Linked DNA regions of Lepisosteus oculatus. The protein of the gene in region 1 purifies or fractionates together with the protein of each later gene. This does not show direct contact. Links are inferred from orthologs where the notes say so. Each region holds a gene or a part of one and is shown in the gene's direction. Other genes may lie near its edges.

What was found.
Region 2: the proteins of zc3h4 (region 1) and wdr82 purify together in Homo sapiens (affinity purification with western blotting; 4 studies listed by BioGRID and IntAct, with this or other methods). This does not show direct contact. The link is inferred for Lepisosteus oculatus from reciprocal best matches to the Homo sapiens genes ZC3H4 and WDR82.

The regions. Positions count from the first base shown.
Region 1 is NC_090698.1:5,317,509-5,328,212, reverse strand, and holds the start of zc3h4 (zinc finger CCCH domain-containing protein 4), read left to right. Parts: upstream 1-6,567; 5' UTR 6,568-6,790; coding exon 6,791-6,876; intron 6,877-10,704. Other genes in the region: sae1 (SUMO-activating enzyme subunit 1), read right to left, coding at 1,916-2,089, 3,830-3,941, 5,785-5,876. UniProt on the Homo sapiens protein: RNA-binding protein that suppresses transcription of long non-coding RNAs (lncRNAs). LncRNAs are defined as transcripts more than 200 nucleotides that are not translated into protein.
Region 2 is NC_090699.1:65,859,446-65,869,913, forward strand, and holds the start of wdr82 (WD repeat-containing protein 82), read left to right. Parts: upstream 1-5,524; 5' UTR 5,525-5,796; coding exon 5,797-5,957; intron 5,958-6,706; coding exon 6,707-6,804; intron 6,805-9,881; coding exon 9,882-9,948; intron 9,949-10,424; coding exon 10,425-10,468. Other genes in the region: glyctk (glycerate kinase), read right to left, coding at 32-183, 811-1,172. UniProt on the Homo sapiens protein: Regulatory component of the SET1/COMPASS complex implicated in the tethering of this complex to transcriptional start sites of active genes.

The DNA.
Region 1 (10,704 bases):
CTCTGTTCAGCATGGAATAAACCCATTACTTGTTCCTTTGCAGCCTACGCCTGCTGACGCAGCCCCCCGCCTGAACAGTTATATTAGTCTTAGCATACCGTTACATGCTACTATATTCACAATACACTTACAGTGCACAGGAACGAACAGCCCCCCATTTATGCTTTGCAAACCAGTGTAACTGTAACCGAGCCGATGTGTGGTGTGTAGAGTTCACAGCAGTTGAAAGAAATGGTGGTGGGTGTGGAGGGGAGTCCCCATTACCCGCAAAGCGCTTTGAGTGGGGTAATTTATTATTATTGCTCAGGGGTTAAAATGTCCTGGTACTTAAAAGCAGCTCTTTTTTAAATTCAAAGAGCTTAGTTCTCCTGACTGATTAACCTTCAGGGAACTGGCTGCTGTGTGGAAAGAAGGGGCAAAAGCATCACCTAGTGGGTTTTTTGGGAACTGCAAGAAATTGCTATTTGGCTTTCAAGAAAAGGGAAACATTCAGAATGGTTGCACTTAAACTAAAAGATTTTCTGTTTCGTAATTTATTGATTTAACAGTGAAATATTTTACATTTTGCACATAAAGCAAATAACACTGTTATTATATACGGGTATATATAAACAACTTCCAAAGCAGAAACAAAGGGCTCCCGGAAACAACTTCACTTCTTTCACCAGTGAAGCTGCTGCTTTCTGCCTCTCTTCTTCAAACCATCTCTCATTGCGCAGTGAAAAGCATGAAGTAGTACAAAGTTTATTTGGCCAATCTGTGCCGTTTTCTCCACTATACGTGTCTGTCAACAGTCTGTAACCATCAACAGGTATTCTGCTCCATAACATCTGCCTTATTATTATTTTTAAATCATTTTAAAAGTCATATACAATTTCTTGCATTAGGAATTTGTCTTTTCACAGATCCCAGCTTGCTCTCCACGAGACACACAGACAGTGAGGGAAGCTGGGGGTCAGAGCAAAGGGTCAGCCATTGTAAGCGCCCCTGGAGCAGTTAGCGTTAAGGGCCTTGCTCAGGGACCCAGCGGAGTAGGATTTGAACTGGCAACCTTCCAGACACAGGTGGGGTTCCTTAGCCACAGAGCCACTGCTCTGCGGTGAATAATACTTTCAGCAGCCATTTCACAACTAGCAGCCCACTGAAGCTCAGCAGGTGTGAATCTGGTCAGTACCTGGATGGGAGAGCTCCTGGGAAAAACTAAGGTTGCTGCTGGAAGAGGTGTTAGTGGGGCCAGCAGGGGGCGCTCACCCTGCGGTCCATGTGGGCCCTGATGCCCCAGTATAGTGACAGGGACACTGTACTGTAAACAGGCGCCGTCCTTCGGATGAGACGTAAAACAGAGGTCCTGACTCTCTGTGGTCATTAAAAATCCCAGGGCGTTTCTCGAAAAGAGTAGGGGTGTAACCCTGGTGTCCTGGCCAAATTTCCCATTGGCCCTTACCAATCATGGCCTCCTAATAATCCCCCTCTATGAATTGGCTTCATTACTCTGCTCTCCTCCCACTAATAGCTGGTGTGTGGGGAGCGTTCTGGCGCACTATGGCTGCCGTCGCATAATCCAGGTGGGGTTGCACACTGGTGGGGGTGGAGGGGATCCCCATTACCTGTAAAGCGCTTTGAGTGGAGTGTCCAGAAAAGCGCTATATAAGTGTGAGGAATTATTATTATTATGTAGATGTAGCAAAATCTCTGCTTCCCCCTATTCCTCCTGATTGCCCCACAGCCCTTACCCTGGGCACTAAAGCTAAACTAAAGACGACGTTAGACAATGCTGTTTCTTTCCACTTTCTGAACACACACCCCTACTAGAAACAAGAAAGCAGAAGGAACTTTGCGCACTGGATGGTGAAGGATGAGCAGTAGAGCACAGCAACAGGAAACCCGCCCTGTCTCCGCTCTCCAAAGCACTCACCGCATCAAACTGCAGGAAGAAATCCTCAGGCTTGGACTCGGCTCTCTCGGGGTCTGCCTTTACTTCCACCATGGGGTTCAGGTACTGAGCACGCTCCAGTGAGGTCTGGGCCCGGTTCTGACCCTCAGAACCCACTGGGATGAGAAACTGCGCTCGGCTGGACTCCTCGGTCACCTGAGACAGAAACAAGAGAGGGGCAGGGGTAAGAAAAGTAGGCAATGCAGGACCTCTTAAACCCTCTTCCTGGACAAATGAAAAGTCTTTGTTTTTTAAGCCTAATTTCTTTACACAAAGAGAGGCGAGTGCCTGGAACAAGTCTTGCTGCAGAAATACACTGTTTGGGAGCTTTCGGGAAAGGACTGGCTGAGATCCTCCAATCAATACGCCATTAACAAACAGAAAAGCGGTTCTCAAAATTTTGTAATTATTTTCGTTACATCTTCTTGCTTAGTCTAGTTTTTCTATTGCAGGACCTATGTGTTTTTCTCCGTTTACTCACATAGTCATATACCATAAGTCCACCCCCCCCTCCCCAATCACAAAAGCTGCCAAAGTTGGGTTAAACACTGTAAAAACAGCACAGGAGGTTTTTAAAGATTTACTCAAAATACAGGACTGGGCAAACACCTGGAAGATGACATTTAATGTAGATAAGTGTGGAGTGTTACAGTTGTATGCAAAAGAACATGTAGAGGCTAATTTCCAGGCTGAAAAGAGAAGAAAGGAAAAAACGTTTCGGCTGTGGAGCCTTCTTCAGGTGTGGACACAGGCTGAGTTCTCCACACCTGAAGAAGGCTCCACAGCCGAAACATTGTGTTTCCTTTCTTCTCTTTTCAGCCTGGAATAAACCTTTAACTTGTTCCTTTGCAGCCCACACATGCTGACGCAGCTCCCTACTTGAATTACTTCAGTTGTATGCAAAGTTTGTTAAATTCAGCAAATAAGTAATAATTGTGCATTACAATGTGCAGAAATACATCACGTTTAAGTTTGTACCCTGCAGAGGTTGTGTAAACTTATTTTCACTTAGATATTCCCTGAAATATGCAATTTGATCAGGGGTGCCCAAACGTTTGGATACAACTGTATATGCAGGTAGCAGCCTAGAAATATAACATGCGAAACAATGAGCTTGAAGAAGCAACTTATCCTCAAGACAAGTGTCTATGCTAACATGATTAACAATGCTCTAGAGTAAGCCTTCATGCAGGCTCTGGGACACTTTTGTTCATGACGTGACGTGAAAGATAACGCAGCTTTGGATGCACTTCAAAAGAAGAGCAACCGGACACGTTCACCGCACAGCAGGGAAGGAGATATGAGAAACAAATCAAAAGCCAACCAGAGAACCAACAAGAACTGCACAAGGTGGAGCCGGAGCACGAAAAGGACACCGGCTCATTGCTGGCCACACATTCATTCATTCCCATATGCTTGGGGGGCGGGGGGGGGGGCAATTTAAAGATAGCTGTCTCTCTACGAGAACAGCAGGTCTTTGGGCTGTGGCTGGGAGAGTACCTGAGCACCTGGAGAAAAAACCCACAAGCTCTAGGTGAGGTATTTGGCTTTTCAGGGTCTACAAAGCACCCCAGTGTAGAATCAAACCCAGGACCCAAAAGCTCAGAGCAACACAAACCCTCTGTCCCACCACCAAATCCAAAACATGTCCTTTCATTCTTTTTATGAGAATCATGTAGTTATCTAAGTGCATAGAGACCCGGGTTTGAAGCCAGACTGGAGCTCCTTGTGTGTGGACTTTGCTTTAGTGTTCTTCCTCGCTCTGAAAATCCTATGAGGTCAAATGTCCATTGCTCTCCTTTGGCGAAGAAAACTGCACACGTACTGGTTGGCACTGCAAAAAAAGACACTACTACAGCCGAGAATCAAGTCTCACCCCCGGCACTAATGGCTTACCTGCTCGTGGTCCAGCATCGTCAGCCCCTTCACTCCTGCCAGGATCAGATTCTTGGCCACCTCTGCCCCCAGCCCCCTCATCCCCACCAGCAGCACGCGGGAGGCACGCAGCCTGGGAGAGGACAGGGCACAAGACAGAGCGAAACATTCAGCTCCTGAGCGCAGCGGACCTGGACTTCCCCACTCTCACTTCAATCCAGTTAAATGCTCAGTTCCTTCTTCAAAACACAATTTCCTTTTTAATGAATTTCATCCACCGGTGGCGTCAGAGCGGATGCACATACTAGTCTAAAGGAAATTTCAAATATTCCTCCGTTCGAACACATGGCAATGTGCAAGACATCACTTTACTTTAGAGACCCCTGCTGAAGACATAATCTTCACAAGATGAGGTTTCCTGCATTGATATTACTTTTCAACCTGTACACTGTTTTCAGCTGCAGTCACAGATGGGGAACAAGCGCCTACTAACAGACTTCTCTCACACACCCGGGAGGCTGATACTCTTGTTTCTCTGAACGCGAGTGATGACTGCGCAATATTTTTTGGGTGTGGGAAGCGACTCTTTGAAATTTAATCTAGAGTCCTGCATGACGACTAAAACAACACAAGGCAAATAAGACCACAGATGAATTATTAGAACTCATTTGTTACACATGGCAAATGTTCCATCCCCTTTACAGAGCTTTCCTCCTCGTCCACTGTTCATACTGAAAGGAAAGGACTGAAGTAAGAGGTAGGGAAGGCAGCTACGCAACCAAGGCGATTTCAAAGTCCCTGTCTGCTCTTTTCTGTTTAAAGGGGAGAATTAATAATTGGATAACCCCCCTAAACTAGCAGTTGCCTCACTGTTTGAAGCGGTCATCGATTTTACCCACCCCGTACCAAAAAAACACTTGTCCCACTGTGGGGCACAGCAGGCTGGGAGCTATCTGAAAGCACGGCTCACAGGGTAGGCATGGAGCACAGGGTTGAGCTTCTCTCTGGATGGGATACCAGTTGGATGGGATGGGATGGGATGGGATCCGGAAGGGATACCATTTCACATTACAGGGTGAAAGAGACAATTTAGACCATCCTAGACAGCATATTTACCAGAAGAGGGGGGGAAACTATGAAATTCCTCAAAGGGGAATGCAGGAAGATCATGCAAACTCCACATACACAGATGCAGCAGGACAGATTCGATCCCAGAACCCTTTTGAAAAGTATTAAACGCCAGGGTCTTTCAGGGAAAAGGAATATACAAACATGGCTGATCAAAAAAAAAAAGAAACCGTAGACGCAGGAGATGATGATAGAGTTGCGAGATAACAGCAACCAGTGCAAAACGCACAACTCTACTTGAACACACAGGCGCAGATCACATTGGTTCATGGGAAAATGCGCACTTAAGGAGAACCAGTCCACTTCATTGAAAAGACTACGGACTAGTAGCCCCGGTTTATCAATCTGACAATCTGCAAAATATGTTTTATTTAGAATGTTAGCGTCTATTTTACCAAGTGCACTCAACACGCTAATCTAGACAAATACACGAAAGTTTACCCGGTTTGTGATGAGTGACCTGCACCTGCTTATTATCGCCAAGAGAGGCGAGAATATACTGTACATTCCCCTGGCGATGAGATTTCACCGCTGCCTCGGTTTTCACGTCGCGTCGCTGTACACAGCACACTATCCCCAACAGCCCGAACACCTTCAGTTTGTCTGCTGGCTCTACCCCATGAACAACCAACCCCTCACTTTACAACAACCGAATCTTCATCTTTTCGGAACAACACTGCACAGGGTATATTAATAATGTACATTATAGTGCACAATGAAAGACATGGTCGCTGGCCACCATACTTGTAAACAGCAAGACGTGAGAAAAGATAAGAAAGAAAAACTTGTTATCGAAAAATCCGGTTCGATCCTCAAAACATAGGGGGCTACGGAACCAGCTATATTACCTTTTCTGAGCATCCAGACCCCACAACCGAATCTGACGGTCATACTGAGCCGCCTCCTCCTCGCTTATTAGTGTTTCCTCCTTTTCAACCATTTTTGAATTCGTGACACTTCAAACCAGAGTAATCGATACTTTATAGAAAATTACTTCTAGCGAGTATTTTATATTTACTATTATCCACCAACAACAAATTTCAATAAACCGCGGTCACCAATGTCCCGCTACGCACGGTTTGGAGAGGCGCTTACGGATTGCGTCATCAGAGACGCGACACTGTCGCGACAACAAGACGTCACATCTTTGTGGGTCCGCCACGAATACAGAAACAAAGAAAATTCGAAAGAATTTTCCGAAAATGTTGCAAGCTCATTTTTTTTTACGTATTTTAGATTCATATTCGGGGCTTTCCCTGCCGAATACACATTTATTTCAAAGAAGGATACCATAGAAAACAGTTATTATAATGGAAAAGACATTCATACTTATATGGGATTTTCCATGGATTTTTTTTTCTGTTACATATTATTATAAAGACAATACAGTCCAATTCCAGACTGTAAATTTGGGGATGAATAAAACATTTTGTGATTTGCGGCCATTTCCGTAACTTTCCGAAAATCCTCAACCTCCCATAAACACGCCCACTTCACCCTCACGAAGTATCTTCGCGCGTCTCCGGGAAGCTTCGAGAGCATTGTGTCGTCATCATCGGCAAAACTCGGCCGGGCTCCTCCCTCTTCATCACCGCCCCCTTCCCTGACTAACTGAGTCGCCGCCATTTTAAGTGGATGAGTTTCATTTTACAGAGCGCAACTATAGGAGGAAGGACAACCTCAGGAAAAAAGTCAACCTCTCTCTTTATAACTGTAAATGGGGAATTGACTATGCTGAACTGAAACTTTTCCAAAAAATCAGTAACCAAATAGCTCCAAGTCAGTGACGCATAATCCAGTAGATTATAGTTGTCGATTTGTAATTTTTTTTTGCACTTTAAATGTTAAGAGGAAATGGCTGTGGAAAGCATGACTGTCCATCCAAACTCCCCAACAACCTCCAACCACGAACACATCAACAGCCTTCTCACTGACGAAAGGTCGAGTAATTCTACAATCATATTTCTATACAACAGTTTATTCATCCTGGGCTTTTTTAGGGCATAAAAAAGCTCGGGTATCTTTTTCTTTGTTTTTTTCTTTTCAAAGGAATTAAAGTCGCCTTTTTTTCTGGGGAACAAGTAACAGAGGTAACGCCATCTTGAAACATTGCAGAAAGCAAACGAAAGGAAGGTCAAACATTAAAAGATGTGGGATACGAAGCTACAGTATTTTAAAGCTCTTTCTGAAAATTACTTTTATTTCGAAATCTAGTTTTTGAAATCAAATAGCAGAGGACAAATCGTCCTGCTGGACATTTTAAGTAATTACATTAACTTTAAAAAAGCCGTCAAAGAAAAAAGCGAACCAAATAATATGATGAAACAAGGACAAATATTTTGTAAAATCTTAAATTCAGTAATAACTTTTTATACTCCTTTATTCTATGTGGGAATGGATTAGCACTTATTTTTCCCAGGGTTGCCGAAGCGCAATCGGAAAACTAGTTAATTGTTAATGAATGTAAAATGTTGAATTCTGTTTTAAATTATATATACATTTTTCTATATTTTATGAACGTATCAGTGTCGTGTTAAATTGTTTTAATTGGTCTTTTCCGTAAAAGGAATTTTAAATTGATACCAATTAGTTTCAGCTGGTGACGCACGCCAAAGTACCCAGCTACGCATTTAACAAATACAGTCTTTCGACGCTTTTCAGCTTTTCTATTTACGTTTAAATGTTTTTCAAACCAAATTTATTTTTCAAAATATTTGTCCTGTTTAACCGAAGCTTTGATTCCGAAAAAATGTTGTTTTTATCCTTTAAAATATTATGTTGCTCTATTTGAATTAAGCGGAAATAGATTTTAATCACCCTTAACGTTTTAGGCTTGTACGGTTACAGAGTATCCCATTTCGTTAGGTAATGTAGTCGTTAAATTAATTACATAAGATAATTGTTTATATTTATTTTAAGATACCCCGTACTTGAATGCATGTTATGTATGTGTTGTTTCTAAAGCATGATATAGTGTTTTTTTTTAGGTTTATTGACCACACGTTTAAGCAAGACGTTATGTAAAATCCCTTTTCTCCAAAAAAGTTAACACTTTACTGTTACGACCTTCTCCCTTCCCCCAGGTTATACACATTCGATAGATTAACTTTATTCCCTGTTAGTGTGATACCAGTACATTTTGAAAATGCTTATGATGTGATTTTTTTTTATTTTTAGCTGTTTTTACCTTCTGAAAAACGACGTTTCAAATCAAAAAAATGTTTTCAACTCATTTATTTTACAGCATCCCTTATTACAGACCAAATACAGTGGTCAAAGTTTCAAAAGCATAACCAAAAGAAAGTCTAAAGAAAAAAAAAACACAAGTTCCCCATTTTAACCCCTTCCTTGCCATAGTAATTCTGGGTACAGCTGCTTTCCCCTAGATTTCAATATTGAGTTTTTTTACTCCCTTGTCCATGACTCCCATAGACAATAATAAAAATGGATTACTAATGCACCAACACAAAGGATATAGAAAGCAGTACCAGTGATTTGGAATTGTGAAGATAGCCATGGTAACAGTAAGTATTTCCCTGTCTACAAAGAAAGAGAGGCCTACTATTTTAAAAGACGACAACGCTGTACGTAAATCCGTAACGTTCGGAGTGTATTTTTCCTGTTGGGTGTCTTTTGGGAGGGATTGCATGTGGACTGATGTGATGTAGTGAGTTCTTGAAACCTTATTTTACAGTTCTTGTCAGAGCCAAAGCATTTTCTCTTTGCTTTTTAGGATAGTGTTTACGACATTCATACGGCGGTGCATTAATCGGAATATTTTGTAGTGTTTGTAATATTTATGCAGCATTTAATTTGTAAAGTGACGTGTTTGAATCTTGTAGATTCTCTGCGGTCTGTAGGAAAACACCAGGTGGTCAATCGCTTTTTAGTCAAATTTTTACACAAAGGTTTTGTACCAGAAGAGACCAGACTTTCAGCAGGGTGGACACCACAGTTCAAATGTGTTCTTGGATTCTGATCGTCTTTGATCCGAATCCTACTTGCATTCACATTCCTGTCTTTACCAGTTGACAGCATCTATTTGCTGTCCCTTTGAAAGACATTTTTCCAACAACTGGAGTTTTTTGGTTACCTGTACTTCTGCCTTTGCGTATTTTGTAGAGAGTGCTGTTTAAATCTTGATGGTTTTCCCTCCACTTGGGGTTCCCCAACTCCCAGCCCTTGTAGATTCTGGGGTCCAGAATGCAGCACGTTTTCTGTGGCTCTTGAAATCGCCAAATGTGAGCGTAGTGTAGAAGAGATGAACATCGGTTCAGTTAAACCATGATTGGATTACTCTTAACATTTCTCCCAGGTGAAGAACTTTCTAATTTAAGGAGACGGAAATCCTGCTGGATTATGGGTCCCGAGTACTGGAGTTGGAAAGTGCTTTATACCACAATTCTTTAGTTCTAAATCAAACAACAAAATTGGGACGTTAGCTTTCGACTTCAGGAGGAGGCCTCTTACTTCAGAAGAATAATTTCTTGCAGGTGACATTGCAGATGAAAGGCTTCAAGGCCTTTTTAGGCTCTGAACACCCTGGACTGTGTAGTTTACTTCAGCCAGCACCTGTTAAGTGTCCAAAGCACTTGCTTTTCCATGTCTGCCTGAGTAAATGTGCTGAGAACGTCTGGTATAAAATCTTTATTTAAAAATACACACAAGTTCTATACCTCGTAGCCTAGTTATAGCCTAAACTACAAATACGGAAATTTTCATTCACATTCTGAATCAAAACAAAAGATTACAAACAGCACAAGAAATGTTGTAGTCCCTGAAACATGGTTATAGATAAGGGCGTATCTGTATACATTTTCAGGCATAATTCTTAGTATCTGGATTAGTGTTATCACGTTATTCAGCAAAAAATGCAACCATTTGTTTAACCTAGGTGTACTGAATTTTAGATTATTTTAGCCACTGGTAACTGGTAGTTAATTGCTAGGTTTCTGATACAATGTTTCAATGCTTTTACCCACAACTGTGTTGTTTTTCATTAAGCTTGAAAAATGAAGAATGCTGCTTTTGTCCTTTAACTTAGTTAACTCCGTAGACCGACCTGATTACTGCTTGCTAGCCTGAATAACTCTGAGCTGTGCTGACAAGAGGTGTTATTGTCAAACATTCTTTTCATATAGAATTAGTTATCAATGAGTGATTAGGTAGTTTCATAGTATTAGGACTAATGCCTCCTGTAAATGTAAATGTGCACATACACATTTACAATCTGGCTTGGCTATATACAGCATGTAACATTCACTGCTGTGCACAAGTCAGAGTTGGTATAGAAAGACAGTCCTTGTTTTGCATATGTGCTGGTCATAAAGCAAGAGAAGTACAACTCGTCAGCATTGAACTGCGAAGATCATGCCTCGGTTTTGTTTAGCAGGGCTTACAGTGCTTTTAAAGAGAGTCTTTGGCATGGCAGAAGCAGAATTCATTGGCACTTTCCTGAGCTTGCCTGTGTGCACAGAGTGAACGCTGCGCAGAGGGGAAAGGGGGCCAGGACTTGGGGCAGTCAGTGGTCTCTTTGTTTCATCTGTCAGCATGCGTGATGAGATGTCTTGTGAACCGCCAGTGGTGCAAGAAAAATAGATTCCCTGTGTTCATTGATAAAGGTTCCTGCGTCTCAGCACAGCCAAAGCTTGTGCCAGAGCTCTAGAAACTAATTGTGGAGCTGTCGGTATTCTCTCCCTGTTATTTGCTGATTGCTTTGTTAGAAGGATCCACTGGTTTAAATCTGGTTGCTAAGCTTAGTGTTCCCT
Region 2 (10,468 bases), on another chromosome or scaffold:
ACCCGTCTGCGCCCGCCGCGGGGGCCGGTACCGGAGATCAGCACCAGCAGCAGGTCGCGGTCCGTCAGCCCGCCGGCCAGCGCCCTGATCGCCCGCGCCGCCTCCTGCGCCGCCGCGTCCGGGAGGTTGTGGCGCGCTCCCTCCAGCGCCCGGATACGGCTCCCTGCTCCCAGCAGCATCTCCCTGTGCGGAGAGAAGCGCCGGGAATGACCCTGGAACCCAAGTGTTTCATCAGAGACCCCCGTGACAAGGGGGTCCCCAGGGTTTACAACACCAGCACCCCCCACCCAGAGCCTTCTGCCATCAGGGGCTCCCCCAGCGCCCGCTTTCTCTTTTTAAAGGACACCCCCATTTCCCAACCCAACCCCCTTCCCCCCCAGCTTCAGTTCAGGCGGGTGACCCCCCCGTGACCAGCCCCTTGACGGATGGCGGGATCCCCCTTCCGCAACGCCGCCCCGCAGCTCGTCCCCGGGCCCACCGACTGGGGGCGCAGCGCCGTCTCCAGCACCACCCAGCACGGCTGCACCCCAGCAGCTCCGGGACGGGGGGGTCACTGTGCACCGAGAGGCCCGACTCCACGCCAGGAGAACGGAACCGGATCCCACCGGGACTCACGGAGGTGATCGGGACACCCCCACGAGTAGAACCTCCCATTTCCCCGCCGGGACCCAGAATGCCCGACGCAAAACTGCGCCAAGAGCACAGCTTCCCGGCGAGGTGTAAGAGAGAGGATCAGGATCGGCATCAACTCAGCAGGGAGAACAACGCAAACAAGCAGGGGCCGTCCGGAGAGCTCACGTCGACCCTTACCCTTTCCCATCCTGCCTCAGTGCTTCCTGTATCCCGAGCGGTACGCTGATCACGCCCTGCACCAGGTGGTCGCCCACGATCCTCTCCGCGGCCGCCGCCATGCCCAGCACGGCCTTGCCGAAGCCCACCAGGTGCAGGTTCTCCCGCAGGGTGTAACTCCGGCCCCCCACCAGGAGGCGCTCTCCCTGCCGCTCCAGGCTGCGGCGCACCACGGCGTCGGGCTGCACGGCTCCCACCGCCGCGCCGAAGATCTCCCGCGCCTGCGCCGCCCGCGACATGGCCCGCGACATGGCCCGCGGGGCGCCCGGGCCGAGGGACAGCGACAGCGACAGGGCGGGGGCGAGGGCGAGGGCGGGGCCCATGGGGCGCTGCTCAGACCGCAGCCGGCTCGTCACGCCCTGCGAGGGGAACAGGAAGTGAGGGGCGAGGCTGCCCTGCGTGCCGTGTGCAGGAGTGGACAGTTAACCTGTCACTCTCACCAGTTATAGCCAGCAGCTATATCACCCTGCAGCTCCCAGCTGGCCGCCCACTGGAGCCCAGCAGGGGTGGGCCTGGTCAGTACCTGGATGGGAGACTCCTGGGAAAGCTGAGGCTGCTGCTGGGAGAGGTGTCAGTGGGGCCAGTAGGGGGCGCTCACCCTGCAGTCTGTGTGGGTCCTAATGCCCCAGTATAGTGACGGGGACACTGCACTGTAAACGGGCGCCGTCCTTTGGATGAGACCTAAAACCGAGGTCCTGACTCTCTGTGGTCATTAAAAACCCCAGGGCGTTTCTCGAAAAGAGTAGGGGTGTTACCCCGACAAATCTCCCCCTGGTCTTTACCAGTCATGACCTCCTAATAATCCCCCTCTATGAATTGACTTCATTACTCTGCTCTCCTCCCCACTGGTAGCTGGTGTGTGGGGAGCGTTCTGGCGCACTATGGCTGCCGTCGCATCATCCAGGTGGATGCTGCACATTGGTGGTGGTGGAGGGGATCCCCATTACCTGTAAAGCGCTTTGAGTGGAGTGTCCAGAAAAGCGCTATATACGTGTAAGCAATTATTATTATTATTAACTGTGTTTACGCCCCCCTTCTGTCCCAGAGGATCCCAAAGCACGTCTACACACCGGAGCAGGAGGTACTCGTGGTTTGCTCAAGCACGGTGCTTAATGAGTCACCTGCCCCCAGCCCCCGGCCCCTCCACACACTCGGCCTGTCCACTGACACAGCCCAGAGCACACGCGTGTCCTCGGACAGTCCTTCCTGTCCTACACTCCACCCCCCACGCTGGGATCTCCGGTCCCGACGGTGTCTTTCCCAGCTAGATCCTTCCCATCATCCCCGCTCACAGCGGCCCTACGGACGCCAGCCACACGAGTGAGAAAGTGAAGGAACTGGAGACAGACCTGAGATCCCCAGCGCACAGCACAGCGTCAGCCCACAGTGCCCAGCTCTGTCCTGTCCAGCAGCCAGTCTCCTGTGATCTGCTCTGTCCAGCAGCCTGTCTCCTGTGAACTTCTCTGTCCTATATAGTCCAGCAGCCTGTCTCCTGTGATCTTCTCTGTCCTATATAGTCCAGCAGCCTGTCTCCTGTGATCTGCTCTGTCCAGTCCAACAGCCTGTCTCCTGTGATCTGCTCTGTCCTGTCCAGTCCAGCAGCCCGTCTCCTGTGATCTGCTCTGTCCAGCAGCCTGTCTCCTGTGATCTGCTCTGTCCAGTCTAGCAGCCCGTCTCCTGTGATCTGTCCTATATAGTCCAGCAGCCTGTCTCCTGTGATCTGCCCTCTGCTCTGTGCGGCTCAGCTCTTATTGACTGAGGGATTAATGATCGACAGGCCAGCTCTGATGTAATGCTTTGCTGGACCGGGCCAGTCCAGTGAGAACAAACCGTCTTCTGCAGGTGGCTGCTGCTGCAGGCCCGGTGACACAGCTGGGCGTTCGGCACCTCCCTCGGGGGACGGAAGTGAGCCCGTCCACCCTGCTGTCCGGGCTCCGGAGCACGAACCCGCCCCAGGCCGCCCCATAGCTGGGAGCCGAAGCTCCATTACTCTTTAATCGGAATGGACAGCGCGCTATCTGCCCCCAGCTCAGAGTCCACTGAGCAACAGCCCAGCCCCTCCCCCCGTCTGTCTGCGCCGTGGGGGGGGCGGTTCTCTCCCAACTCTCTCCCCATCCCCCCCCCCCCCCAGAATGATCCGAAATCTAAACATTTTACTTGGGGTGCGATGAAAGGGACTGATCTTTTCTCCTGTCGGTGAAGGCAGTCTGTGAGCCACAGCCAAGGCCTGGTTTTCCCGGGCTCATAAAAGATCTACAGGTGAGGAGCAGACTAGATAATAATAATAATAATAAACTTTATTTTATATAGCGCCTTTAAAGGTGGCTTCTCAAAGCGCTTTACAGGATGACAATAACAATAAATAAGAAGACTACAACAATAAATAAGAAAATTTCACAAGACAGGACACAATTATAATTACAACAATACAACAATAACAATAGAGGAGACCGTGGAAGATGGTATTAAGAAGAGCAGAGGGGTGAAGAATGGAAGCAGTTAAGTAAAGGCTTTTCTGAAAAGGAGGGTTTTGAGTCTGGATTTGAAGGAGTTTAGAGAAGGTGACTCTCTAATATCCTTGGGCAAGGAGTTCCAGAGCTTGGGGGCATAGCAGGAGAAGGCCCTGTCGCCCATACAATGTAGACGGGCTTGGGGGACAGTAAGGAGGGCAGAATTTGAAGAGCGGAGGTTGCGAGGTGGGGAGTAGGGCGATAAAAGTTCAGACAGGTATTGAGGTGCCAAGCCATGTAAAGCCTTGTAGGTGAGCATGAGGATTTTAAAGTCTACGCGGAATTTGACCGGAAGCCAGTGCAAGGACTCCAGGATAGGAGTAATGTGAACACTTGCACTAGATCTGGTCAGGATTCTGGCTGCTGAATTTTGGACATACTGCAGCTTGTTCAGAGTAGATTTGGATACCCCAGGGAGCAGAGCATTGCAGTAGTCAATTCGAGAGAATACAAATATGTTGATCAGCTTTTCAGCCACAGTTAATGATAGCATAGGGCGTAGTCTTGCGATATTTCTAAGGTGAAAAAAAGATGTTTTGACAGTATGCTGTACATGTGGGTCGAATGTTAAGCCAGAATCGAATATAACCCCAAGGTTTTTCAATTTTGATTGGAGCTCAAGTACAGAGCCATCTACAGACAGGGTTACAGGACTGGCTTTACGAAGTTGATGGGGGGTACCAATAAGCATGACTTCAGTCTTGTCACAGTTAAGATGAAGGAAGTTTTGAGTCATCCAAATTTTAGATGTCTGCCGGACCCCTGCTGAGCCACACTGCAGCTGCCTGCTGGTGTCCTCACACAGGTGAGCTGTGACGACTGCCCCACAGGGTCAGCCCCCATTCAGGAGTCTGTCTAAGTCTTCCTGCAGACGTGCATGTTAGGAATATCATAACACGAATATTAAATATAAACGCTCTAGTCACTAAAGTTTAGTTTTACCTAATCTCCTTGAAGCTTGTTCCTTGAAGGTGGTGGAGGGGAGTCCCCATTACCTGTAAAGCGCTTTGAGGGGAGTGTCCAGAAAAGCGCTATATAAGTGTAAGCAATTATTATTATTATTATTGTTTGAAGAATTCCAGCAAGTTAGACGAGACCTTATTTTTCTTATCCCACGCTCGACTCCTGAAGTGTCCTCGTTCTCTCAGTCATACTCCAATCTGTCTCCATCTATAAACTCCGTATCTCTCCCAGCGTCAGGCGCCAGACTGCCTGGGCTGTCCCTCGGTCCGTTTCGTGGATCGGACCCCGGGGAACTGTTCTTTACTGCCCCGGCTCCTCTACGCCTCGGGATCAATCATGCTAAAGCGAGCCAGTCCTGCGGGAGATCGATAATGTGACATCTTCAGCTACAGTCTGTGTGAACCATGTGACAAACCCCCTATTATCTCATAAGCCACTCGCTCAAGCCTTTACTGTCCTAGAAGTGGAAAAAGTGGTTCACAATACTGTTTCGCCCCCATTGCAATATTTCTTTCTGTCCCCGGCTTGGCGATTCTAATAGTTTTTCAGTTGCTCCGGTACACTCTTTTTCCTCCTCTCAACCTCCTGCCCTATCACGCACGCCTGCTGCGTGGGGCTCTCTTCCTCCCGAGTTTTTTTTGTTTTTCTTAATATCGCCATTAAACTATTGAGGCACTTGTCCTGCCAAGCAACTCAGCCAGGCCCCGATATCCCTGCCCCTCGCACTAAACGGCACTGTCGCGGTCCCCCGAACAAAGGCGTCCGGCACGCAGGTGCACGTACCAGCGCAGCAATGCCATTTCATTCACGCTCGATCCCCTCGACTCCTCATATCCAGCCCCCCGTGAAATGTCCGCCCGGTTGCATTGTGGTACCTGTAGTCCGGCAGGGAAAGGGGGCGCTACGGCGGCCGGACAGGGCCACACACACACACACACGCGAATCTCGCAATTCACTGCGCTTGGAAAGGCAGCGAACGCCTCCCTTTCCCAGCGCTCACCCGGCCGGAGGCTGCAGCACACAACCTCGGTTTAGACGCGGGCTCTGCCTTTTAAAGCGCCTCTGCGCTCACAGGCCGGCGAGCAGCGCTCGGCCTCGGGCTTCCGATTGAGCCTCACGTCGCGAGGGGGGGGCAGCCGAACGCCGAGCACACAATGGGGCTCGTGCCCGCTTGCGCTCCCCCCGGGTGGGGGGGCGCGCGCGTGCATGCGTGCGCGCTCCTGGCGGCGGCGGCAGAAGGCGGGGCTTCCTCGCGCTCCTGGTGCTCGAGCGTGTCCCCGGCGGTTTTTTCCTTCTGCGTTTGAAAAGGAGGGAAAAAAAAAAATCAGGGTTGTTTTCCCGGGGGGCGAGGGCGGGCGAAAACCCGACGAAAAAGCCGCAGTTTCTGTTTCGGAGAGGAAGGGGGGGGGGATTTGACGCCGCGCCGGTTCCCGAGAAGCAGAGGCCGGAGAGGCCGCCGCCAGCGCGGGAGGTCATGAAGCTGACGGATAACGTGCTGCGGAGCTTTCGCGTCGCCAAGGTGTTCCGGGAGAACTCGGACAAGATCAACTGCTTCGACTTCAGCTCCAACGGCGAGACGGTCATCTCCAGCAGCGACGACGACTCCATCGTGCTGTACGACTGCCAGGAGGGAAAGTGAGTTCCCTTCTGTTGTCTCCGGCGGGGCGTGGGGGGGGCTCCTCGAGGTGAGGCCTACTGCGGGCGCCTCATCCCCGGGCTCGAGTGAAGCGCCCTGCCCGGCGGGACGGGGGGGACTGTACCGCGGGTGGCGGAGTGTGTACAGTTGAGGGGGGGGTCTCTTTTATTGAGCGTGTGAGCCTTTGAATGTCAGTCTGCATGAGCGTACGTTCCCCCCAGCGCAGTGATACGCACGCTTTACGCGCAGGTTGATGTAGCGTGCTCTGTGAGCTCCGTAGGGGCAAATGCGAAGGGGGGTGTTTCACGGAATGGGTCCCCTCCTGGCAGCTCTACGTGCGCGAAGGCTGCAGAGCCCTGACGCCGGTTTTTGTGTGTGTGTGTGTCGCGCAGCGCGGCCTCCCCGTGTCCCGGCTGCTGCGGCAGCAGTCACGCGTGTGGTGGTGTCAGGCTGCAGTGTCGGATGAGAAGCACCCCCTTTTCTTTTCTGTCCTGCTTCTCGCGTGTGCGTGGGCTGGTAACGCCAGTTGAAGTCCACCCACTGGTCATCGTTAAAAGCCTCGTAGCTAACGCCGACTTGGGTGTAGGGCGGTATCGAGTGCGCAGACTTCCCTCCTTCGCTGTCGCGGTGGCTCAGACACAGTGGGGTGGGTCAGGCTGCCCTGCGGTGGCAGCGTGTCCGTGTCCGTGCGTGGGTAACAGGGATGGTCGATCTCATTGCGCTCGCTGTCGCTCCGGCTGTGTTCCAGGCCCAAGAGGACCCTGTACAGTAAGAAGTATGGTGTGGACCTCATCAGATACACGCACGCAGCGAACACCGTGGTCTACAGCTCCAACAAAATCGACGGTACGTTTCTCCTTGAACAGCTTGCATGCTTAAGTATTGACACCCTCTGTCTTAAGTTATCTAATTCAGTAAAACGGGCTGACACCCCTATCCCTGAGCCTGGGGACCCCCCCCCCCAATCTTGAAGATTGGGGATGCTGTGTTTTTCTTGCAAAACCCAAGAGTTAAAAGGCAACTTTGTGTTTTGGAACTTGAAGCGAAGCTCAAAATTAAGTCTGTTATGGGGTGTGTTTACTAACTGCTTATACTTATATCGTGCTTTTCTGGACACTGCACTCAAAGTGGTTTACAGGCAGTGGGGATCCCCTCCACCCCCACCAGTGTGCAGCCTTTGCAAGTTTTTATTTTGGGATGAAAAGTTGCAGATTCTTATAAAGGGCAGTAGGAACTGGAAAAAAAGAGATCGAATTAATCATATTTAAGGGTTTAGTTATGTAACTGATGGCTCATCTGGAATGAAAGTCTGCAGGGTTGGGGGTCCCCTAATTTACGGTGACCATTGAGACTTGAATTGGGGATATTCTGGACTAGGGTAGAAACTCCCGCATCCAAACTCCTTAGCTGTCAAACATGGGGGAGTCCAGCAGTTAGTTCAGTCATCGCTCGTCCAGTGAGAAGATTCCAGTGGAAAGATGGAAGTCGGTTTAGATTACATCCCGGGAAACGTTGTTTATGTTTTGCAGAGTACATGTTATTCAAAACTGACCACAAACAGAAAAAGGAGCTTGTACAACACTGAGGAGAGGGGGATATTTAATGATTTTGAAAGGAGAAAAAAAATGATCCGACTGTGCTGTCAGTTTACGCGTGAGGAGAATGCAGCCTAGCTTGTTCCTGCAGACGGGGATCTCAGCCTACACCCGGCAGTTTCAGGGTAGTTCTGTTTTCTTATTTTGGAGGTTTGTGTGTACAGCTTCCAAACCAAGTTAAGAAAGGAGCATTGTGTTTATCAGTGAAATTGCTCAAGGGTATCACTTCAGGGTTACGTTTTTAATGCAACACTGTTGCAAGACAAGGGAGTATAACTTTGTGTGGTTCGGTGGAGCGACAACAAAGTACATTTTATGTAAAATAACTGTTGTCAGCTTGTGTGTATCTTCTTAGGCTGCACCCTTTCCCCCAGATCCTAACTGTCATAGAGTTAAAGTGCTAGAGAAGGTAAACGATGCAAGTGAAGCCTCTGGGCTGGGATATTTTAACTGAGGTTAATTATGTACTGTAGTGATGAACGTGCAGTTCTGTGAGTATTCTCCACTGCATTTCTGTGGAACTTATACTGTAGGCCTTCTAGTAATTGCTGGGTCTCAAGTTATCCTTGGGTGTTCGAAAAGCACTATTGTTCTGGGGGTCTGTTTTTTAAATCTGGGGTTCCAACCAGTGCCTGCCCCCCCCCCCCCCCCCCCAGATACCTGTACAGTGAGGCTACAGCATCTGTCAGAAAAATAATGGGCTTCGCTCATCCACCTTCCTGCCGTTTCCTCTGGCTTACAGAAGTCTGCTGCTGCCTCTGTTTAATACCTTTTCTTGTCAGCAATAAAAGTTCAATCTGTTATGTTTTATAAGTGGAACAAAGCGAGCTCTGTACTACAAGGTGAAGCCTTAAAGCCTTGGAAGGAGAAAAGCCTTCAAGAGCTCTGACATCCTTGACATAGCATAGCAAGCTTTTCTGAAAGCTTTTCTACTGGAGGCCAGTGCTATTTTGTGTCCAAACTATTGCAGCATTATGGGGTTTTAATGCTTGTCCAGTATATCCACACGCTGGAGTACTCGCCGCAGGAGTTGAAGGTTACTTCAGTTCCATCAACCCCCCCAGAAGAAGAGACTACAGGGAGGACGGCTTGTGTCCAGGTCTGGAGGAAGCCCGGGGGTTCCTTCGAAGGAGTGCTGCTGACCCCAGCCTGCCCCGGGCTGAGGTAGTTGTTTGTACAGTTTGAGGGTCTGTGATACCACCCGGTAATGGAGCTAACTGTACAGGCCACTGCCTTGCCCGGGGCAGCGCCTTCGTCTCCGGCAGCCTGCAGCGCCTGAACATCGTATGGACTCCTGACCGCCGGCCGGCGCCGCTGTCTCCGGCCGCGGGAGCAGCGCCACAACAGGCCGCTGCGTCTCGTATCCGCGGAGCCCGCGACTCCCTGCCGGAGTGGCCGTGGTTTTTCTGGAAGGGAGCAAAGCCAGACTCCGTGTGTTACAGACTCCGAAAGGAAGGTCCTACTCTGCCGTGAAACTGCAGCGTCTTTAGTGTTTAATAACGTTTTGTTATGGGGGCCTTTAATGTGCTGAGGCTTGCTGGGAGAGTGGGGGGGGGAAATGGCTTTTATTGCATCGTGCAAAAGTCTGAGACATGTTGTAGTGTAGTAGCCTTTTCTCTCGATGCTCATTCTCTGTGCAGGAAAATTAAGTGGTAAGACTTTCCCTGACATTTTATCCAAGTTATTTTAAGATGACAGGGATGTTGATAGATCAGTATTGTATTGTAATACTGATTCAATCTTTTTCTTTGATAGACGTCAACATGTGTTCCTCCCCAGACCTTAAAATGAGGCAGTCAGATCCGAGTGGTAGATGTGATAGATTAGCTACCTCAGCACTGTGTGTAGTTGGCTTTGAGGTGTTGAGTTTTTTTTGAAGATTTTGATGAGTGTGAATTAAAGATTCATAAATGACAGTCTGGGTTTCTTCTCGACCCAACAGGACTGCATGGGTAAGGGCTGTATTATAGTAGAAAATGCTGATGTTGATCTTTAATAAAATAATACGCGTAGATTGTAACTCTGGATTGTGTCTAGTATGTTAAAGAGTTTTGCACGGGACACAGTATCTTTATAAAACACCACAGGTACAAGACAGGCTGCACTGCTCTGACACTGAATTAGCCACCTTCTTCTGGCCTGATCAGAGGCAGAGCAAGGGGATACAGATTTTCCCTGATTGACATTAATAAAGAGTACCCTTCCCATACGAAGATCCCATGAAAGTATGTATTTGTTGTGCTCGTGTCATAATTGCATTAAGGCTTTGTTTTTTTGCCATTTTCAAGTGAGTTTTTATGTTTTAATAACTCTCTCCGTTTCCCTTAGACACCATTCGGTATCTGTCGCTCCATGACAACAAATACATTCGCTATTTCCCTGGACACAATAAGAGGTGAGACTTGGACTTCTTCGCTAATTCTAGCTGGGAGTGGTTTGATGTAACAAAACTGGTTGTTCCAAATTAACACAGGTTTTCCTCCAGCAAAAATCTGGCCTAGTTCTGCTGTCTTTGCTCTGTTTTATTGTTAGGTGTGTTGATTGCGGGCATGTTTACTTTGATGTGGAGAAATTACTTACTGATTATTCGGTCGGTACCAATATGTATAATAGGGGCACCTTCTAATTGAACAGTACGCATTAGCAGATGGCCCGATAGAAAGTAAGGTTATTGAGGGCACAAAGCTTTCACATTCCCCTGCTCGGTCTGTTTAGAGCCGCAGGTTTCAATAATGCCCCCCCAGTCTTCTGGTAAACTGTAGAGAAGAATCTGGACTGTGAGTGGGAGTAAAGGTCTCTGGGTGTTTGCCCGTGTGTCGCAGTAATGGCACGGGCTGCAGTTTTGACTTTACCTGCTGTTGGTGGTTTCAGGGTGGTGGCCTTGTCCATGTCCCCTGTGGATGACACCTTCATCT